Rattus norvegicus: one gene and its partner. The protein of the gene in region 2 binds, or shares a complex with, the protein of the main gene of each other region. Links are inferred from orthologs where the notes say so. Each region holds a gene or a part of one and is shown on either strand. Other genes may lie near its edges. The genes, in order: Exosc1 and Exosc7.

The links.
Region 1: Exosc7 (region 2) and Exosc1 share a complex: the UniProt entries of both Homo sapiens proteins name them as parts of the RNA exosome core complex. The link is inferred for Rattus norvegicus from reciprocal best matches to the Homo sapiens genes EXOSC7 and EXOSC1.

What each region holds. Positions count from the first base shown.
Region 1 is NC_086019.1:250,691,807-250,696,234, forward strand, and holds the start of Exosc1 (exosome complex component CSL4), read right to left. Parts: upstream 2,943-4,428; 5' UTR 2,934-2,942; coding exon 2,903-2,933; intron 2,818-2,902; coding exon 2,702-2,817; intron 2,680-2,701; exon of another isoform or gene 2,525-2,679; intron 2,482-2,524; exon of another isoform or gene 1,516-2,481; intron 1,077-1,515; coding exon 1,002-1,076; intron 1-1,001. UniProt on the Homo sapiens protein: Non-catalytic component of the RNA exosome complex which has 3'->5' exoribonuclease activity and participates in a multitude of cellular RNA processing and degradation events.
Region 2 is NC_086026.1:131,664,525-131,668,336, reverse strand, and holds part of Exosc7 (exosome complex component RRP42), read right to left. Parts: intron 2,715-3,812; coding exon 2,549-2,714; intron 1-2,548. UniProt on the Homo sapiens protein: Non-catalytic component of the RNA exosome complex which has 3'->5' exoribonuclease activity and participates in a multitude of cellular RNA processing and degradation events.

The DNA of each region.
Region 1 (4,428 bases), on a different chromosome or scaffold from region 2:
CTCCCGCTTCCTTTAAGGCAAGGTCTTACTATGTAGCCCCACCTTTATTGGCACTCTAAACCAGGTCGGCCTTGAACTCACAGAGATATGCCTGCCTCTTGCCGTGTCTGTCTTCCCTCCAGCCGTCTTTGGGACAGAGGGTTACCTTGCAGCCTAGCTCCCCTTTGAGATTCCCCGCCTCCCAAGCACCATTGGAGGAGCGTGCACCTATGCCCTGCCAGCAAAAATTTCTGTGATGACAGAAATGTGATTTCCTGGGGCTGGACAGATGGCTCAGCAGCTAAGCGCACCGGCTGCTCTTCTAGAGGACCTGGATTCCATTCCTAGCACCCATATGGTGGCCTATAATTATCTGTGCCTCTAGTCCCAGGGGGTGCGACACACCTTTCTAGGCTTTGTGGTAGCAGGCACGCATATGATACAGACAAGATAACTATTCACATGAGGTAAAACAAAACCAATCATTTCCTAGAACTGAAGACGTACTTCTGGGGAGTCCATCACTTTCCCACACCCCCCAAACTAAAGTCATATGTCAACCAGTATGGCAGCCACTAACCACAATTTGCTACCGAGTACTTAAAATGTGAATAGTGTTGGGATTGTGGGGTGCAGGATCTCACTCTGTAGCCTATTCTGGTCTTGGACTACTGTTCAATAATTCTAAACAGCATCCAAATACCGAGACCACAGATATTTTATATTTTAGCCTGGCTAAAAATAAATTTTTCATTCTTTTCTTTCTTTTTGAGACAGGGTTTCTCTATGAAGCCCTGGGTGTCCTGGAACTCTCTGCATAGACCAGGCTGTCCTCAAGTATTCACCTGCCTATGCCTCCTGAGTACTGGGATTAAAGGCTGAGTCAACACATCCATCCCTGAGATTGACCTTCTAGCAGTAATAAACTTAAAACACCCTTCTCTAGCTAGGGACTACTGTATTAAGCAGCGGACCACGGCAGTTGTAGGATCTCGGCCTAATCATGACTAGGACCGGCTTACCTTACAGGTGACGACAGCTCCCACATCTGGAAGTAACTGGGACTCTGTCTCTCTCATTACTGATACCACGGGAAGCTGTGGAGAGAATACGAAGGTTAGTGTACTGGCTAAGTAAGCCCTGGGTAAAGAGAACTGAAGGCTGAGGATAATACAGGGGTATCTTACAACAGCCGAGGTCACAAGGGCAGGCAGCCTGTAGATTCATTTATAGCCCATAGCAGAGGACATTAGTCATTTTAGGAAATAAAGAGGATCAGAGGCCATTAGAACTAGGCTGCCAGGTTTAATGTGATCATTCTGATTAGTTGTAAATGACTGAAGACTCTCTTGGGATTTCCTGGTACAAATCCTATTGCTTATAATTATGAATATCCTGACTCTTTCTTCAAGCTATAACTTTTTTTTTTTTTACTTCAGGATTTGCAATTAAATGCTATAGAATGGCAACTCTTGTTTTACTCCAATGGCAACTGGTGTATTATCTTACCTCTCTTGCTCTGTGCTGTTTCCTTACCTTACTAAGTCCCTCCCATTTCACGTTGTCTGTCTAATCCATTCTTTCCACACTCCTCCACCTCTCCTTATCTTCAGGTGCCGAAATATTATTGTCACTATCTAGAATTCATGCAGCCCGTTACATGTTCTCACTGTTCCGCACACTTCTTTTGAAGATATGTTTGTGCATTTGCTCATGGTTTGTGTCTGTCTCCCTGGTAACAAAAGCTAAGTGTATTGGGCTCAGGACTCTATCCCCAGTAGCAACTAAGGGCACCACTGGGCAGGACATCTATGTAGTGAGTAGACTGACAGGCTGAGTTTTATCTCCAAAACCAATAGACTGGAGCCCATTTTTTTTACAAATAAGTACAACACAAAGTGGGAAGTTTGGGTTTTGCCAGTCTCTAAAGAGGGTGTGTTTTTCCCCAGGTCCCAAGCTAGGCAAACGCTGTGCTGATGAGCCACAAGCCCAGCCTGAGGAGGTTTAATTCTTAGTTTTTATAGTCTTACAAATGTCAACCACTGCTTTATCTGAGTCAGTTAGAAGCTGGGAATACACTCGTGTATCACCATGCATGGCTACACTTAAACTTCTACTTGGGCAAGAATCTAGTTATCATGAGTAACATATTTAAATAAGTGCTCCAGGGAAGGTTCTTGGGCACAACAATCCTACTGCCACTAAAACCCCCATTTTCTCAGTCAGCAGGTCCAGAAGGGCTTCTCTGGGAAAGCCATACATACAAACAAAAAACAAAAGGGATTGAGCAGAAGTGTGTTCCAGACAGACAAGTACATGCATTGCATAGGCTTCGAAACAGAGTTTAGTTCACTAAGACACTGAAAATCTCCAGCATTACTACATTGATGTCAGTGAAGTGGGACACAAGAGCCACAAGAAAGCGGAGGTAGTCGAGATGCATGACGGGAAGAAGCTCTCGGCTGGCCGGGCTATTCTCAAATTTGCGTGCTTTTCCCCTCCACCTCCTTCTGTGAGTGTCTCTACACAACTAAGCCAGCCCAACCTAAATGGTGTGCAGCAGGTGTGTTTTAGCACAGCGCTGGGATCAGAGCTGGGAGAAGCTGGGAGACCAAAGCTCTGAGACACCAAAGACAGGTCCTCCCGGTAGTGCCTGTGCCCAAGGACCAGAACTCGATGGCAGCCTGAGAGGTGACGCTCGTTGGCTAGCCGCTTTCTTTACCGCGCCATTCTCGCTGGTCTTCGTCAGGCAGCCAGCCAGCGACGAAAAGATGTAGCCGTGCCGGGTGTAGGTGCCGCTGCCCGGGCTGCCTTCCTCCAAGTTACACAGACGTTCGCCTGCAGAAGACATGTGCCTCAGCTACGAGCTCCCAGAAACTGGCTGCCCGCAGCCAGGGTCTGCCTGCGGAGACCGCTCACTTACCCGGGATGCAGTACCTCACAGGTGGTGCCATGCTTGCCACCGTCCACAACCCGGATGAGAACCAAGACGACTTCTTATTGGTCAACTAGAGGAGCGGCCTCGCAGTTACGCGTGCACCAATTGGCGCTTTCGACCGCGCAAGGCGTAAGAGCGAAGCCTGACTCCATTTCCCAGGCTGCCCCGGGACAGAGTTCTGGGCGTGACTTTGCGGGCTCTGAGACTCGCGCCTGCGCAGCTGGGTGGTGATGGGCTGTCCGCGGGTCTCGGTCCGCTGGCTGGCGCTGCGGGCTCAGGGCCATGGTGGGTTAGCCTTAGCTCGGCCCGGCCTGGGTCCCGAGCTGGAAGGGGAGGCAGTGAGTGGCTGACAGGGAGACTTGGCCTAATCTAGCTGATTGAGAAGCTGGCAGGAGGCAGGTAAGAGTGAAGGCGCGGTTCTTGTCCCCATCCGAGTCTCGGGTGTCCAGGCCCTTAAGTTCAAGTTCCTGGACTCTCTGCGCCCTGCCCTGCGTGGCTGTCCCAACTCATCCTCAGTCCCAACTCGCCCATTTCACGAGTTTGGAGACTCAGATCCAGAGACAAGGTTTGGTTTGTACAAAGTGTCGTAGATAGTTCGAGACAGACTAAGCTTAAGCCTTTTTTCTTTTTCTTTTTTTTTTTTTGACCTGAGCCTATCATAATTGGACCCTGCTGCACCTGGAGACACAACCTTTTTTTTTTTTTTTTTTTTTTTTTTTTTTTTTAAGCTTTGTAAAACGACAGTTTCTTCTCTTGCAGGCAGATACTCTAGAGCGTGAGCTCCTTAACTATGAATGGGCAGCTTGACGTTAACATACCATTCCTTTTGCATTCTTCCATTTTAGCATGTTAGCCGGGAAAGACAACTTCATTAATAGAATATTATGCTTTCTTGACATCAGCTTGATATGGCAAAGGTCACGGGAGCAGCAGCTGTGTCCAGATGAAATTTGCCGTGACTTGATCTCAGTTTCATCTCTTGGCTCTGGAATTTATTCCTATCTCCCCTTCCCTCCCTGTCAGTCAGGCTTCTTTGAGATACAGATGGTGATTTAGGGGAGTGCTGTTGCCTGCTAATCTCTACTCTGGTGGCAGATGGCCACTGTACTCTGTGGATTCTACTGAGAGGTGGCAGGACTTGGGGTTTGGAGGAACTATGCTGGCTTATCCCTCCTCTGTTCATTCAGGTCATCCATGACTTCTCACCACATTTAGATTTAAAGACTTTGTTTTTTTTCTCTGTTTCCCAAGGTAAAACCTTTTCACTTGTGGTCCATTTATTACATCTTTTTCTAGTCTCCTCCTTCTCCTCATATCCCACTAGGCTGGGGGGGGGGGGTCCTGGACCCATTCTTTGTTCACTGGAGTTTGATCAGCAACTATATGCTTTCCACTTTACAGGTTTGATTTCCAGTTTGAGGTGTCCTCTAAGTTATTGTTCTTTAGTGCTGTGATTCTAATAATGGTTCTGTTTCTTTGTTTACCAGAAAGAATGAGTGCAGCAAATCCTT
Region 2 (3,812 bases):
GGAAGGGATCCCATCAGAGCGGTAAGGCCAGTTAGGGCCACACAGTGAAGAATTCAGGCCAGCCTGGGATAACAAAGTAAAACCCTGTCTCAAACCAAAAAGCCCAAACCAACCAACTAAACACACAAAAACCAAAACCAACCAAAACAAGCAAAACTAGGCACAGTGATTATGCCTTTAATTCCAGTACTTCAAAGGCAGAGGCAGTAGATCTCTGTGAGTTCAAGGCCAGCCTGGTCTACATAGTGAGTTCCACAACAGCCAGAGCTACACAGTGAGACTCTGTCTCAAAGAACAAATAAAACCAATTAATCAACCAGACAAAATATAAACAAATAAATTAGAATAAAGATCAGAAGGTGGGCTGCCCTCCTTGACTAGGTGAGCCATGAAGAGAGCCACATGTTCCCTAACTGTAGCGCTGCTCGTCCATGGCTGCGGTTACACAGGCACACATGCAAGGCCCCACTGCCCTGCTGAAGTGATTAGATTCTCACAAGCTGCTGGGGCAATACCTAAGCAGTGGCTGACTTAATTCTGCCCCAGATGGTTGCCAACTGCACTGCAAGCCTCACTCTAGCCTTGGCTATCAGATGATTGACAGGATATTGCTATGGAGCCAGGGACACTTCTGGTATGTGATTAACAAGGCACACACCCACTGCTCGGACCTTACCAGTATATACTGTGCATTAACTATAAAAGCCCAAGTTCATCACTGGTAGACTCTCACTGACAAGGTCAAAGCGTACATCACTTGGAAGTAGTAAATCTACCCTCCCAAGAAACCTTTACCTGAGGTTCTGGGGGAAAGGCAACAGCCTGACTCCTCAGGGAGATGGAGAAGTTACATTGTAGAGAGAATCTTTACATACTGTACAGAGGCATCATTTTTCAATAAAAAAAGCTATAGCCAATGACCTGAGACAGACAGGTGGGATATTTGGCAGAGGGGAGACAGACAGACAGACAGACAGACAGACAGACAGACAGAGAGAGGGAGAGAGAGAGAGAGGGAGAGAGAGAGAGAGAGAGAGAGAGAGAGAGAGAGAGAGAGAGAGAGATCAGGATATCAGTCTGGGAAATAGACATGGGCTATCAGCCCTAGACTCAGAAGATGATGGTTGCATGAAAGTGAGGACCAGGTAACCGGGCAGGTTTTACGACCTAGAATAGAATGCACAGGTAATTAAGCTATAAGCTAGCCAGGGAACAAGCCAAGATTTTGGCCTAGGCATTTATTCATGAAATATTAAGGCTCAGAGTGGTTATTTCTGGGAACAGAGTGCATGGGTGTTACAAATGGCTTTAACTACACGTTGAGAAGAAGAATCTCTCTTTCTGGTTTTGATGGGCATACCATGTTTATGCATTTATGCATCCATCATTCCTCCTGAGAAAGACCTTAACAACACCCAGCTACATAGGAGTGCTGACCATATACTTAAGACCCAAATGAAAACTCTGGAATTAAAAATTAGATCCTTTTCTCAGGTTTTCGAGAAAAACACTGCATACACATTCCCAAGGGTCTGCTTTTACACACAGGCCTGGGTGAGCTCTAGGAGGCTCCACTGAAGGTGAACTTAGTTCTTCCTAACAATGCAGAACAGCAGCCTCTAATCCCCAGAAAGGCCTTGTTATTTACCACTTTCTTGCCGTAATCTTCTGTCTATATGGAGTCTAAAAATACCCAGCAGCAGTGATTCAGGTAATTATCTACGTCTTAATCAGAAACACAGGAAACAGTGTCCTCGAATCCTATTGTATGTGCCAGCTTCCCTTGGAAAAATCCTCCTTTTTTAGGTGAGGCCTAGAGCCCAGATCCTCCCTCCTAGAGGAGGCCAAGTGCAGACACTGGCCTGACATTGGCTGACTTCTTTACTTCTGTAGGTCTCTGTTCCCCACTGATCAGAAATGAGTAGTTCCTTCTTTCTCTAGGTCTCTAGTGTGTACTCAGAGAAGGTTTAGAAGGCTTAGGGAAAAAAATCAGTGAAAAGAGCTTGTTCCATACAAAATGCCAACCTGCCAAACTCAAACACTACATCTGTTTGGTGCTACCCAGAGGGTCCTTGTTTTTTTTTTTTTTTAAAGATTTATTTTATTTATTATATATAAGTACACTGTAGCTGTCTCCAGATACACCAGAAGGTGGCATCAGATCTCTTTACAGATGGTTGTGAGCCACCATGTGGTTGCTAGGAATTGAACTCATGACCTCTGGAAGAGCAGTTAGGTGCTCTTAACCGCTGAGCCATCTCTCCAGCCCGAGGGTTCTTGTTTTTAATTCCCTGATAACTCCAATGGGTAATTTTAGGTTCAACTCTGCCGTGATCACAGTTTTAGTATAGAACAGTGTTACATGGACTACTTACTAATGCTGTGTATTTGTCTTGTGAATACAAGTATTACAGGAGACCATCTCCTCCCAAATAATCTAACCATGGACACAAAACACTTTTTCATGAGGAGGAAGGGTAGAGGGAGGAAAGAGACCAATAGATCTTCAACAAGTGTGAAGTGACAGGGACAGTGCAAAGTGACTCACCAGCACGTCCACATACAGCACCCAGCAGTGCTCCCGAGGACTGATGCAGAGGGACCTCAGGTCGACGCTGCTCTTGTTGTTAAATATCCGGTAGAGGGTATTTGCAATCTCTGTGCCGAGGTCATCACCTCCTCGCCCTTCGAATTCTGGGGTAGCATTGGCTGAACTACACAAGATGGCAACAGAAAAAGTGAGTGAGTCCCTATCAGTACAAAGACCTTGTTCTCTGTGGAATGCTGGCGAGCTAGTATCAGGAATGTCACCAAGGCCAAAAGGCAGAGAGCTGTCCTAGCTCGCATGAGGCAAAAGAGGCAAAGAGCGAAATGAGACATGGATGGCACTGGATGGCCTTGCATCCTACAGGCGTACGCAATGGTTGAGACCAGCACTGTGCCCTGCACCCGTCAGTGGACATGATAGGCCTTCAAGCAGCAGAGGAAGAACAGATCGGTGGCAATGCAAACCTCAGCTGGTATAATGAACTCTTCAGGGTGAAATGAACACTTTTCTCTGGCTGGCCTGCAAAGTCAGAGTCAGTGTCATACCCTCGAGAATGATTTGGGGGGTGGAGAATATATGATAAAATCTATATGATAGAACAGACTCCAGAAACGAGGTTATCACTGTACTGAGAGAAGGAAATGAATAGAAACACGACAATATGCTGGCCTGTTAAGTATTCATATTTGCAGTCACTTAAAAGTGAGAGAAAAATTCTTTTTTGGACTCTTGTTACTTATGCCCAGTTACCTTCACAAGAATTAACAAGAGTTCATACCAGCTACTCTAATATGACTCAAAAGGCTTTACAGGACTATTCTGAGAATTCTGTACTGACTCAAAACAGCCTATTAAGTCTTGAGGTAAGTGCACATCACTCATCCATGTAGTCAGGACAGGTGAGGGCCAGCATCAGCTCAGACTCTAAAGTCATGTTTCCTGGCTCCTGAAAACCTGGAAGGTATCAGCTGGAGACGGGGAAAGTTGGATGGGGTGGTGGGGGTATATGTGGGTGTATATGGTATATATGTGGGTGTATATGTCTTATTCCTGAAGGGTAAAGAAGCCACAAACTTCAGAGAAGCAGGAATCAATGCAGGAAGAGAGAGGCTCCAAGGAAAACATGCACTGCTGTGTAGAGTGAGAGACCTCTCTTACAAGCCATACTTCAGTCTTGAGGCTTCCTAGCTCTGCAGGCCAGCCAGAGAAAAGTGTTCATTTTATTCTGAAGAGTTCATTACACCAGCTGGGCCCACATATCTAT